Rhinolophus ferrumequinum: one gene and its partner. The protein of the gene in region 1 interacts with the protein of each later gene in a pairwise test. Links are inferred from orthologs where the notes say so. Each region holds a gene or a part of one and is shown on either strand. Other genes may lie near its edges.

Region 1 (7,848 bases):
TCCATTTTTATCAAGTGAAAAAACAGGCAAAACCAAACAATATATTATTCATGGATACATGTATATAGAGTAAATTTATAAAGAAAAGCAAAGGGATAGAAACACAAAATTTATTAAATGTCTCAAAGTATTACATTTAGTCATACATTTAAAATTACTTTTTCAATATTTAAGTTGTATCCTACCTTGTCATTATGTAGCAAATGATCCAAAATCCAAGAAAAAGAGGGTCAAATGGCACTATCTTCAGAGAATATGCCTGTGCATAGATCATGAATGGACTACTTGAGAATTCTGTACTGCTTATTTCAAAACTTGGCACTACAGGAGGAAATGTGTAGTTCTCTTTTCTTTTTCCAGGCAAAAACTAGAAAATAAATACTAGTATCAAGCAACAAAATACATGAGATGTGGAATAGCGTCAAAAGTTAAAGTTCTCCCTGACTCCCAAATAAATGAGAACCAAACAAATTCCTCCCTCAACGTTTCAGTCTCTTAGAACATAGTCTTTGCAGGGTTTGCCTTCAACCAAGGAAAACTGTACAGGGGCTGATAAGAAATGAGCAGAGAAAGCTGGGGCTAAATGATAAATGTTTCAGAGAACTATAATTACAGTCTTTCATTTTGCGTAGGAAAGTATTATCTCATCCTTCAAATACTTGTTCCTTCTATACATCATAAATGATTCTATTTATTTATATATGGTAACTATAACTTCTTAATTAAATATTGTCAATATCATGGTCCATTCAGACAACAATAAGAGTCAATGTGTTCCCCTTAATTACTGTTTTGATGTGCTATTCATACGCTCCCTGATACTTCCTCTATTTTCAATTCACTTTAAGATAGTAGAATCTTAACTGAATAAAAAGAAAGTGAAAAATTAAACAGCTTAACCAGTTTGTGGGCTAGACGGAGAAAACTTCTGAAAAATTTAGAACTTGTTCACAGCTCTCTTCAAGAAATATATTTTGGCCTGTGCCTAAAATTGGGTTTTTAAAGGTGTTAACACCCCATAAAATTACAAATTAGCTAAATGGATCCTCAGTGTCTATTAGATACCTTTCCAGCATAGGAAATCCATTCAGGTTGAATTTTTAAAAGAACATAATTAAGTTTCCCTAAGACACTGGAGACAAAAGAGACATGAAATTAAAGGAACTTACTTGCTATTCCTCTTGAGCACTGACTAAGGTGCTTTTACTAAGTCTGGTGACTTGGCCTACTTATTATCAGAATGCATAGCTCCAGGGTATTACCGTTGCTTTTGGGTTCAGAGAAGAGAAATGCCTTACTGTGTTTCCCCGAAAATAAGACCTAGCCAGACCATCAGCTCTAATGCATCTATTGGAGGAAAAATTAATATAAGACCCGGTATTATATTGTATTGCATTGTATTATTTATATTATATTATATTATATTATATTATATTATATTATATTATATTATATTATATCAGGTCTTATATTAAAATAAGACCAGGTCTTATATTAATTTTTTGCTCAAAAGACATATTAGAGCTAATGGACCGGCTAGGTCTTATTTTCGGGGAAACACAGTGGTTTTGTAGCTTTTCTTTGGATGGCATAATGATAGTAGATAAAACTAGCTATTTTCAGTGAGTGCCAACTGCTTGGACTCTCTGCATGAGTTCATTACTCTTCACAAAACCCCAAGGGGTAATATACCTATTTTCCACATGAAGAAACTAGGGATAAAGGACCCTTTTTAACAAAAGCTTGCACAAACTCACAAAGTAGCAGTCAAGATTCCAACCCAGATCTATGAGTCTAAATTTGTGAACATTGGTATATAAAACGTAACATTTTATCTAAGTAGCATCCATGGATTTATAAAAATGCATGGCCTGCAAGTAAACTATCTTGACGGTACCGAACCTTTGAGCAAAGTAAAGATGTTGTGTTATGTGTATGTGTGTATCTCACCATATATGTCCCCAAAGATGATGGTCCTCAATTTTTTTAAATTTAGGAACGCTAATGTTCAAGTGTCATGTCAAAAAATTTAAAACGGGCTATTTCCCCAGAAATTTAATGAAGTCCCATAGCCCTTCTGGAATCTACTACCATTGTCTGTGATGTTAGAGATCTGTGATCACCAGGTGAAGTCACCTGGGTTTGAGCCGTCTCTGGGCGCTTTGGGGCAAGTGTCTGTACTTTGCTGTGCTGCAGCAGGAAAGGCCTGCTACTTCAGGCTGTGAAGCATTACGGCTTCACTATAGGTCGGCTGTTTAGAGAAGGGCTTTTCCGTGGGAAACGCACAATCATGTTAGCTGTCTTCGCTAAGGCCCTTCCAGCTCTGACAGTTTATGGGCACGACTTCAAACTGGGTTTCACATTTTAGTCAAGCCGGTCTGCAGCTGTTGGATCGGGGGTGCTCAATAACCAGAGATCGAATGAGCGGGGCTGTTCAGACGTGGCGCGTTACACCTGCACCCTTCAGAAGACGAATACCTAGGGCTGTAAAGACCCTGAAGCAGTTTTTATGCATCAGAGCTCGCAAATGCCAGGAAAGCTGGTTAGAACGGGCCCGCCTGCCACACCGAGGCGGCAGGTCGGGGGTGCGGCCCAGACTCTAAGATGAACACGCTCAGAGGGCCTCCCTGTGACTGGGCGGAAGCCTGCCCCGGGCATTAACGGCTAAGACGCGGGACCAAGGCCCGCGAGGGCCGCGGTGCTCCGATGGGCCGAGGGCAAAGGCCATAGGACGGCCACCCTCAGCAGCTGTAGGCTGCAGCCGCAGCTGCCGCCAGCGCCGGAAGTCTGAGCCCAGGCCCGCCGCCCGGCCGGAAGCAGCGGCCTCGCCAGCCCCGCCCCGCGCCCGGCCGCCCAACCCCGCGGCGAGAACAGAGCTTACCTTTCCCGAGTCCCTCGCTCCGCCTCGGTGAGTGCGGCCCGCTGCGAACCCCGCGTGGTGCTACTGCGTGAGCCACCGCTGCCGCCGCCACGCCGAAGCTCCGGGAGGCGGGGCGAAGCCGCCCACGTGACCCCAGAGCGTCCGCCCCGGGGGGCCGCACCTGACAGCCGCCTCTGAGCGAACGCGCTCGGCTGGGAGCGAGTCTTAGGGGTGATGAATGATTGTAGGTGGCATCTATTCGTAAATGTTTGTTGATCTCACGTTTATCCATATTTTAAATCCACCAAGCGGTCTCACTTCTAAGAATTTACCGTATAAAAATTGCAAAAGTTGCTCACAATGCATGTAATCTACGTATAAAGAGGTTTATTGCAAGAAAGAATGAGAATAGCTAAAGTGATCAACAGAGGAAGGGTTACATGAAGTACAGCATAGACATGTGGATTACTTGTAACTATAGAATATGTGTAGTGTGTGCTCTCTTTAGTGTAAAAAATTACTTCTCAAGATACAAATATAAAGGTATGTGAATAATCTTTTTCTTAAAAAAACAGTAGTTGCTTGGACTAGTGATGAAGGATTTTCGCTTTCATATTTTGAATTTTGCAAACTTTTGTTTTTTCTCTTTATACTTCCCTCAATTTTTTTTTAGAAAGAAAGCCTCACACTTGTGTTCAAAACGGGAAGCTATTAATAGATGAGTCTGATAGACTTTTTTTTTTTTAAATTTCCTTGACTGTCTTCTGATGCAGTGGTTCTTAACTCTGGCTATGCCTTAGAGTCAGTCACCTGAGGGTATTAAAAAGTCCTGATGTCCAGACCGATGAAGTAAAAATCTTGGGTGGGGGTGGAGGTGGAGAGATTTTTTGTAACTTTCCAAGTAATTCCAGTGTGATCTCAAGGTTGAAAACTACAATGTATATTTAATATCCTGACGTACTGATCTCATATCCTTGAGTGGCCTGTTGGGCCTGGGGCAGCTGAAACCCAGGAACCTTGTCCATTTACCCTAGGGTGCCATTTTTTCTATGAGCCAAAACATGTAAAAGATTGAGAAGCCCAGAATAGTGGATTTGCCTCCAATGCCAGTTTCTTCTGATTTCTGTTTTGTTTAGAATAGTTTTAGGGTGATAATCATATTTTATGGGATAATTTCCCTTTTGATCCAAGCACAAATTAATCATCTAGTTTTGAAGAATCGCTTTGCCAAAGTAATAATAATATATATTTGGATTTGTAATTCACGTTATCTGTTCACAATCCCAAGTTATTTTATTGGCACATGGAGGATGCTAGCAGTTCTTAGTTTGTATCATTAAAGGACTAAATAAGGTTTGCCATTTCAATGAAAAGTTCTTATTTTTTGCTTTGGCATAAACTAGGCATTAAAATAAGACATATCTTAGATCCACAGACCTTAAATCTGATTTTGAATAAACTGAAGATCTCAGTAGATATGCACACATATATACACAAGAAGAAAGAGAAATGGTAACGTTCTTTTTATCTCCATCTAAAGTATTGATGTGGTTAGTCATGTAAAAGTATAAAATGTTTGGAAAGCTGTGGTGGGAGGCAGAATAAACTACCTTTCTCCACTTCTGAGACACACAAAAGCACCAGGCCCAGGCATGCACCTGAGTCAAAAGCAGGAACCCATAAAGTGCATTTGAAAGTCATTATGGTTCAGAAAAAAATTCATTACTCCTACCCTCATTTTTTTTTTTTTTTTTTTTGCAATACCACAATTCCAGCCAGTGTGGGCACAGCTCCCACAAAGTTGTACCTGATAGACCATTGGGGGTACTTGCTTCCTCCTTTCATCCTTTTATTTCCTACTAGTGACACCTAGTGGTAGCTCTGGCGTGAGTTTTGTTACCTACCACTGAAAACACTAGCTTTTCCTCTCTGATCTTGCCCTTCAGTATATATAGTTTCAAATGTCCCTTCTCACCTTGGTGATCCCTGCTCCTCTGCTCTGAGCATCAGGATGTTTCTAGGCAGGCTTTTCTGGGACCAAGTCCTTCCTTTCCGAGAGGTTCAAAAACTGCCTTCAATCCTAAGCCAAAGTCTTGTCTTGTGAACTAGTGAAAACATCCGTGTGTGTGTTACAAGTTTCACTACGGGGAGGTTTGAAGAATATCCACAAAATAGGATTTCCTATTTCTTCAAACCAGAAAGGGTGACACCATTGTCCTTCTTAGGACATTGGGGTTCAGATCATGAGAAACTGAGGGTGGTTTTAAATACTACCTATTTGCTTATGACTCCTAGTGAGTCTCCACAACATTCATTTGTTTGGGCTACCTACCTGATATTCTTACCTGGATACTGTGGTAGAAACAGTGGTGTTCACCAAACATCCCATCTACTATCCCACATTTCCCAGCCCCACCTACAGTTGGTTGAGGCTATGTTACTAGTTTTGGCTAATGGGCTGTGGGTGAAAATGCAGTGTTTCACTCCTAGACTGAAGCATAGAAGAGCTGGTATGAGACCTCTCCAGTCATCTCTTTTTCTGTCACAGTTGATATTCTAGATGGTGGAGCCTGCACTAACCTTGGTCCCTGAGTGACTGTGTGGAACAGACCACCCACCCCCTCCCCCAACACAACGACTTCCACCAAGCCATAAAAGACATGTAACTTAAGTGAGAAATAAACTTTTGTTGTATTAAGCCACTTAAATTTTAAGGTTTATGATTGCAACACAGTATATTTAACTGGATATCTCATACATAGCTATCTCCAATTCTATGTATTCAAAACTGGAATAATTTTCTCCCCTAAGCCTATACTTCCTTTGTCTCCTCCATCTCCATAAGTGACATATACGTGCTTAAGGTGGAAACCTGGATGTCATACTTACATCTCCCTTTTCCTCACTCTTCCTGTGCAGAAAAGACAACATAGCTGACCTGAGATTGTTATCCTTAAAAAGCTCTGCTTACAAGGTTGGCCCTTGGCTGGCTTCTGGGAACTGGCTAGTAAACACTTCCCTACACTGTAAAAAGACTTCCCCTAAATAATAGGGGTGACTATATTGTTTGTACAAACAATATGGCTTATGTGACCACAACCTCCTTTTCTTCTGGGAGTCTGGAACATCTTAGGCAGAGGTGACTAGGTGACCACCCCTCAATAAAAACCTTAGGTGCTGAGTATCTAATAGGCTTCCTTGGGTGGAAATATTGCACATAGTTTATTGCTGGAGGAAGAATGAGCTCTATGTGGCTCCTCCTGAGAGGGTGAGAGGATAGGAAGCCTTCACGTGGATTCTTCCATATTCCACCTATGTCCTTTTTCCATATGATCTAGCTGTGTAGCTTTATATCACTGTAGTAATCTTAACATCAGAAGAACTATATCAAGAGTTCTATGAGTTCCAGTGAACCCCCAGACATGATGTGGTCTTAGGGACCCCCATGGTATCCCCACCATGTCTAATCCAGCACTGAGGCATATCAATTTTACTTTCTCAAGTGTATTTCAAATTTCTCTGCTTCTTTATTTATATGTTGTCACCAATCTGGAAGGTGCCATCATCTTTTATTTGTGTTGGACTTTGAGAGGGCCCAATAAACAACACCTTTCCTTCCTGCCTGAGTTTGGAACCAAGCAGGAAGCGATCACAGTATAATCTTTATTTAATAATAAAAATCTAGATTGGAGTGGCTTAAATGTGCAGCCAAATGAGCTTGCTAACAGTCTCCTGATTAAATGTATCTATCCCCACTGCTACCTTTAGAGCTGTCATCTTGGGAGGATGGACCAGATTGTACCCTCTCTGCAGGCACACAGATGAAAGGAGAAGGAAGAGGCTGAGCAGAGCATCCAAAAAAAAAAAAAAAGACGGAGGGCGGGAGTAAAGATTGGAGATTTTAATAGTAAATGTTAAGATTTCTTGCTCACTCCTGACTTTATCTTCCAGGTAGAACTCCAGGTCTTGGGCGTTAAGCAAATGATACACACTGGCTATAAGTGGAGATTGATTGGGGAGTGGGGTCAGTGAACACCAAGTAATCTGTACGGAGGCCCAAGCAAAAACCCTGGTATCAATACCAAGCCAGGCTTAGCAAATATGCACAGTGGTGTGTGGGGCCTGCAAAGACACAGCCTAGAGGCGCTTAGGTGATGTGGGCCTCACGGGGCAGACAGCTGCTGCTTGACCTGGACCAACATTCAGAACATATTCGTTCTACTACATTGGGTCTCAGCAGAGGTAGGGAGGCCAAAGAGACCTTGGGAAGCAGGCGTAGCTAAGGCAAGGACTGAATTACAGGAACAATGTCTTTTGGTACATTGGCCTTTCAGACAGTACTGGGTAGAATAATATTTGCTGAAATTAGAGATAGTGAAGTTCATTAAACTGAAGCTTTAAGTCCCCTCACATACATGGGCCCTTTCCAAGGTCCTGAAGGACCTTAGTAATGTATTCACATGGTCATCTTTTATACACATGAGACATGCTCAGTAATACCGCACGTAAACTATAACTGTACCCTATGTCTTTCTTGATGGGAATCATATGGAAGAGAATTTATCAAATTCCTTTGTCTATAAACATACAAACCTGTATTAGTACTACAAACAGTTTTTTTATACTTCTTGTCAATTAAAAAATAATTATACTATAGGAAAGATTGAATTATCTTTCTATTCTCTTTATATAAAATATTATCATCAAATTGTTATCAGATGAAAGGAGGACTAAAGAGTAGTTAGACGAAAACTAGGTGAAAAGGGTTGCAAAGTAACGAATGAATGGCAATTAATGAATGTTTATTATGTAAGTTTTTAAAATATTTATTTTTTTTGTAGTCATTTGCCAACTCTAAATAAATATTCACTTTCATACCTAATTTTAAATTTATTATTTTATATATATTTTTTTTAAAGACAGCCTCTCTCCCTCTCCCTCCCCTGCTCCCATCACACTGGGACTTGCATTTATCCTCGGCTGCATTA
Region 2 (6,439 bases), on another chromosome or scaffold:
TATTTTTCTATTGGGTTGACTGATTTTTATTCATTATTTTTTATATTTTTATTTTTTAGGGAGGGTGCAGCTCACAGCAGCCATACAGGGATCAAACTGGCAACCTTGGTGTTATTAGCACCTGCTGTAACCAACTGAGCTAACCGGCCACCCTCTGCCACCCCCTTCTTTTTTTTTTTTACGAGGGCACAGCTCACAGCAGCCCAAGGGTTGACTTGATTTTTAAAAGAAAAAGGTAGATGGGCTGAGAAAAAAGAATTTGGAGGTCTATGATAACCCTTTCTTTGCTGTTTATGGCAATTATTTTTCTCCCAGTTTCTCTTTTAAATTTGCTTTTTTTTCTCTCCACGTACCAAGTATCTCTTTATAGAGAGTCCTGTGTATCTTTTTCCAGTGTCACTTTGAGGATACCATTTCGTAAGAAAAATATTTCCAGATGTGCCTAGAAGGACCTGAAAGCCTGGCTGTACGTTAAACATGACCTTGTGACACGTCTGAGTGGGGCTGTTTCTGCCGGGGTGTGTGTGTGTGTGTCACACGTTTGCTCTTGGATCTCCCATATCTATGCTCCATTTGTTCACACATTTGTTCCCACGTGTCAAGTGGGAATTGAAGGAATAATGGAGCCACTGAAATACACAAGAAGGTATAGTAAATCGGGTAGTCACTGCATTTTCTGAAGTCTCCACAGTGACCATGATTGAGTTTATGAGGAAAATTTTTAAAAAGAAAGCAGCTCTGAGGTCTGTCTCCTTGGAAGTATGGGTGTAGGCAGGGCTCTGGGCTGGCTCCCTGGTCCACTTTGCTCTGTGACTGGGCAGGACCCACCTCCTTCCACCAGGTCCAGAGTCTGGCAAACGCGCGCTTCCCCTCAGTCTTCCCTGATCCCTAAAATCCCCAATACCCTTCCCTTCTAGAGCCGCGGTGTCGGGTTGTGCGGGTTGGGCTCTGCGCAGGTCTGATCGAGGCCGGCAGGGGGCGCCGCTCCCCCATTTTCTCAGAGGCTGCGCCCTGCATGCCGCCTTCGGTTTTAGGTGGGTGAAGGACCAGGTCCCGCGTACCTGCATCTGAGAGGAGTCGACCCAAGCAAGCAGCCCTGGGGAGGGCCCTGGCCTTGCCAGCGGGGGCAAGCGCATGACCCCTACCTGGTACCCCACTCCGGAGGGGCGGAAGCTGCGGGTCTGCGCCTCCAAGTGGCCGCCGTCAAGGGCACGGTGGATCGGAGTTACGACGTAGCATTTGGGACCCACTGCGTAACTCGCCTCGGCCGCCCGGGTTGGGGACGACCAGAATCTTCACTCGGCTGCCCAGGGCGTCCGATGAACGCGAGCCAGGGGCGCGCCGGGATCTGGCCCTGGCGGAAAGTGCGGCTCAGGCCTCTCCAGATCCCCACCCTCCCCTTCGGTGGGGCAGGACCTCTACCCCCAGGCCCTGTCAGGCCCCGGGGCGCGCCCTCCCAGGGAACACACGCATTCCACAGGCTCAGGTTTCTTTCGGGGACTTTACTCAAACACTGGAACGTGGCGGGAAGGGGCGGCTGAGGGGTCCTGCGACCACCCATCCTCAGTTTAGTGATAGCTGGAGGCCAGCGCCAAAACCACGTCGCTCAGAAACTTGTCCAGCGAGGCCTGCAGGGTGGGGCTGAAATCTCCAGGGAAGTGCCGGGCGAGGGTCACCTGCAGGCAGTGGGTCAGCAGCTGCGGAGGGAGGAGGAGGTCGTTTCCACCCGTGGTCCGTCTGCCCCTCCCCCACACCCTTCCCTGGTGGGAACTACCCCCTCCGCCGGCGAGCGGGTCCACAGCCGGCCCGCGCGCTCACCTTGAAGTTGACCGGGTCCACTCGCAGCTTATGCGCGTGCAGGTCGCTCAGAGCCGACAGGGCTCGGGGCAAGTCGTCCATGTGGTCCACGGCCAGAGTCAGTGCGTCGGCGACCTTCTTGCCGTGGGCTTTGACCTGCGCGGAGCCGGGGCTCAGGTCCAGGTGGAAGAAGTAAGTCTTGGTGGAGGGGAAGGCCAGGAAGGTCCTGCGGAAGGAACCGAGACTGAGGTGCGGCGCCCCAGGGGTGGGGACGCATCTCCGCGGCGGGCGGGAAGGCAGGTGAGCCCGGAGAAAGCCGAGGTCTGTCCGCACCTCTCCAGGGCCTCGGTCGCGTACACGCCGACGTTGTTACCCAGTTTCTTCCACAGCGCGCGCACTGTCGCCTTGTCTGCAGCCGACAGCACCATCGTGGAGCCCGGGGCCAGCCGCGCACGCTCAGCGTGCTACGCCCGAGCCAATCGGCCGCGGGTCTCTGCGGCCACCGGGGGCGCCACGCCGCGGAGTCTGGTTCCTTTGGGGTCCGGGAATGTCCAACCTGGACCTGCGTCTGTCTGCTCTGGCCTGGACCTTCGCGATCGCCCTGGACCCCCAACCTCCCATTTTTGTAGTGGTTACTATATGGAAACTAGTATTTAACTTGTACATATTATTAGGTAGTACTGAATTTTAGCATGGATTTTGGCATGGCACATCAGTTTATTCTATCCCCCTCCGGAGTCTGTTCTGACACCTCTCTGAGTATTTTCTCATTTATTGGATAAAATAAATATAATTTCTTCGCAAGGTTGATGTGCGGATTAAATGCCAAGTGCCTCGCTCATAGCGGATGTCCCGTTCAGGGCAAGGAACCTTTACTGGGTGCCTAGGATGTATCCTAATAATAACAGCGAATACCTATGTGGCACTCATTCCCTGCCGGGCACCAACCTACACCTTTATTGTTGTTATTGTGGTAAAATTTGCCATCTCAGCCATTTTAAAGTGTACAATTCACTGTCTTTAATTATATTCACAGTGTTATGCAACCATTAGGAGTATCCAGTTCCAGAACTTTTTCATCATCCCACATAGAAACCCTGTATCTATTAGCAGTCACTCTCTAATCCCTCTTCTCCAGCCCCTGGCAACCACCAATCTGTGGATTTGCCTGTTCTGGACATTTCGTATAAATAGAATCATGCAATATATGATCTTTTGTGTCTGGCTTCTTTCACTTAGCACATTTTCCAGGTTTAACCATTTTGTATCATGTGTCAATACTCCAGCGCTTTTTATGGCCCAATGACATTCCATTGTCTGGATGGGCCACATTTTCTTTGCCATTCATCAGTTTCGGGACATGTGGATTGTTTCCACTTTTAGCCCAGGCCCTCATTTTTCCTAATAATAAAATAAAGATGATTACCTCTTACTAAGATCTGAGACTGTGCCACCAGCTGTGCTAAAAGCATCACAAACGGAGGCAGGAGACTTGCTATGTCATTTTCCAAAGACCCCTGGGGCCCAGGGAAGAAAGGACACTGCTCTCAGTTGGAGGCTTGGGGCTGGACTGCAGCCAGAACTGGACACCAGGAGCCCTCACTCTGAAGCCGCCTATTCTGTGGGGAGGAAACTCATTGGAGTGCAGGCTTCCTGGTCCTGGTCCTGTTCTCGCTGTGACACTGGAGGCATCAGTGGACCTCAGAGGTGCCAGCCTGTGGGCGGTGCAGTGGATGCCAAGCTGCGCCCCAGAATGGGCCTCCAGAACTGCGATGCTCCCAGGATGTCAATGTCTGCAGGGTGAGCATCCTGAGGTGGCCTCAGGTGAAAGGGGTGCCAGGACCGAATTTCATCGCGTGTGTATTTGGGAGGCACTTGATGGAGAAGGGAGCACTCAGTGTGACTCTGAAGGAGTGGAACCCCGTGTCCTCCCCACCATCCAACTCGAAGAGGAGCCCTGGAAGAGCTCAGAGGTCCTAGGCTGGAGGCCTGCTAACTCTCAGAGCAAGTGTGTGCCCGGTGAAATGTAAAGACGGCACATGAACGCATTATTTGAGCAAACTAGTGTTGACTAGCAAAGGCTGGGAAATGAAATAGAGGAGGAGTCGGAATGTATGCAGCAAAGCCCTCCGTGGTGAGAGCAGAGGGCTGCCCAGCGAACCCCAGGCAGTGGCAGCGGGACTGGCTCCACTCCCTTTGTACCCATGTATGCCCTTCCCTCTCTTCGCTGACTGCGAAGAGGCCCTCGGTGCGAGGCACGCAGAGCCACCCCCACCCCGGCAAGTTCGCGGACACAGAGAACCCAGGCCACACAGGCTGCAGTCCACTCAGACTTTATTCAAAGATCAGGAATTGCGGGTGCGCAGAGCGCAGAGGGGCCCTGAGTCGGGGCAGGGATGAACGCGGCTCCAGCTTAACGGTACTTGGAGGTCAGCACGGTGCTCACGGAGGCCAGGAACTTGTCCAGGGAGGCGTGGATAGCAGGGGTGAACTCGCCGGGGTTGTGGCAGGCCAGAGTCACCAGCAGGCAGTGGCTCAGGAGCTGCGGAGAGAGGCGGTGTCAGGGGGCGTCGGGGCGCGGCCGCCCGCGCTCCCCCGCCTGCACCCCGCGGGGTTGTCTGCGCGCCTGGAGGGCGCGCTGAGCCCTCCGCGCGGATCTCTGGCGGCCCGGCCCGCGCTCACCTTGAAGTTGACGGGGTCCACACGCAGCTTGTGGGCGTGCAGGTCGCTCAGAGCGGACAGGGCGCCGGCCAGGTCGTCAATGCTGCCCACGGCTTTGGTCAGAGCGTCGCCCACCTTCTTGCCGTGGCCCTTAATCTGGGCGGAGCCGTGGGACAGGTCGAAGTGGGGGAAGTAGGTCTTGGTGGTGGGGAAGCTCAGGAACATCCTGCGGGGGTGGAGGAAGAGTGTGAGCGGGGGTGGGCGTGGGGGTCGGGGTGGGGTCCAGGGCAGGGTCCTGAGCCTGGCATTCGGATGAGGGCGCTGGCGCGCCTCTTCGGGCAGGTCCGCAGTCTGGACCCTGAGGTCTTGGGGACGTGGGCGCCAGCTGGGTCGGAGCCCACCGAGGAGCTGCTGGCAGGCCCGCGACCAGGCGGCCGTCGAGCCCCGCGGGCACAGCAGGGAAGGGAGGTCCTCACCTCTCCAGGGCCTCAGCGCCATACTCGCCAGCATTGCCGCCGACCTTATCCCAGGCGGCCTTGACGTTGCTTTTGTCGCTGGGGGAAAGCACCATGGTGGATTCTTCCTGAGTCTGTGTTAGGACCAGAAGGGTGGGGGCCGGGGAGTGCGCGGAGCCTTTATGCCTGAGGCCGGAGGGGCACGCCCGCCCCGGCCGCGCTCATTGGTTGGCACGGAGCCGGGGGTGCTGGGCTTGACCCCGACTGAAGGGGGCGCCCGGCGCCGTGTCTGCCTCTGGCTGGAGCGGTGGGGGCGTCGCTCCCAGGTCGCGGAGGCACCGGGTGTCTGCGGGTCTGGATATTTCTTTCTCCCAACGACCGCTTCTCGCCCGGTGCCTCCACCTCCCCCGGGAGTGATATTCTCGCCCCCTCGCTGGTGGGGGGGCGGTTTGTAGAGGTGGGTCGATGCTGGTGGCTCTTCCACCACTTGAACTCAATGACACCCTTTTAGGGTCCCTGAGCTTCCTTAGCCACAGGCTGGGCTCTCCTGGGAATCTACCCTGGACCTAGGCTTGGTACACGCTTGACGTGTTTTAATTTGGGTAGAAAAAGTGAGTGAATGGACAACGGAGGGCAGGAAGGAAGAAGGCCTCACCTAGTCCGGGGTTAGAGATAGGAGGTCCTCGCTCACGTATTCTCAAGAATTCCTGTTTGGAATCCCTCCTGTTCCCCTTCAGTCTTGGTTCTTCCAGCCCCCTTTTCTTCCACCAATAATCATGGAGTGTCATTGAGTGCCAGGGTCTCGGGAGTACAATGCACACTCAGGCTTCTTCCAGAGTTCGGGTCCTGCAACCCCATCTCGGGAACTCACCGGGGTCCCTCTCCTGTGTGATTGATTGTCTGAATGACTGTCTCTCCCCCCCACTGAGCAAGTGGTCCTGGGTCACAATGACAGTCCATCCCCCAAATTATGCCTGACACAACACTCACTAGGTAAGTAGGGGTTGCATTGATCAATAAAGCAACTGCTGAACCAGAGCTGAGATTTCAGCCTAGTTAGGGACAGAGTTATCAAAGCTTCATACAAGTACTTATATTCTCAACCCTCATTAGGGGCCCCAAGGAAGAATGAAGGAAGTAGATGAGGCATTCCAGGATATCAGGGTTAGTCTGAAGATCACCGGTGGGGTTCCCTGAGGAGGTGAAACTGGAGGATGAATAAGTATTAGGTGGAGTAGGGTGGAGGGGGAGCCGCCCAGTCGGCTTGCAGAGGGGCACAGGGAGAGGAGGCCTCTGTGGCTGCAGAATGAATGTGGGGAGATGGGGTGATGTGTCTGGCTAGACCCTGCAGGAGTGGGGGAAGGGATGGGCTTCCGGTGAAACAGTGAGAAGGGGCCGCAATTCCTGCTGATGCCGCCCCCTTACTGGTGACAAGTGATGGTCCCTTGGTCTAGTGGTGGGAGAGGGGTACTGACTAGGTTAAACATCCTAACTGGGGGGAGGAGAAAGGGAGTGAGAAGTCGTTG

Evidence for each region. The genes of interacting proteins can lie anywhere in the genome.
Region 2: the proteins of RFESD (region 1) and HBQ1 interact in binary tests that used the Homo sapiens proteins (3 or more experiments, as listed by UniProt). The two-hybrid records come from large-scale screens. The link is inferred for Rhinolophus ferrumequinum from reciprocal best matches to the Homo sapiens genes RFESD and HBQ1.

What each region holds. Positions count from the first base shown.
Region 1 is NC_046290.1:63,520,080-63,527,927, reverse strand, and holds the start of RFESD (Rieske domain-containing protein), read right to left. Parts: upstream 3,008-7,848; 5' UTR 2,882-3,007; intron 368-2,881; 5' UTR 275-367; coding exon 186-274; intron 1-185.
Region 2 is NW_022680357.1:2,231,529-2,237,967, reverse strand, and holds HBQ1 (hemoglobin subunit theta-1), read right to left. Parts: upstream 2,515-6,439; 5' UTR 2,226-2,514; coding exon 2,131-2,225; intron 2,024-2,130; coding exon 1,819-2,023; intron 1,698-1,818; coding exon 1,569-1,697; 3' UTR 525-1,568; downstream 1-524. Other genes in the region: hemoglobin subunit alpha, read right to left, coding at 4,211-4,339, 4,480-4,684, 4,935-5,029.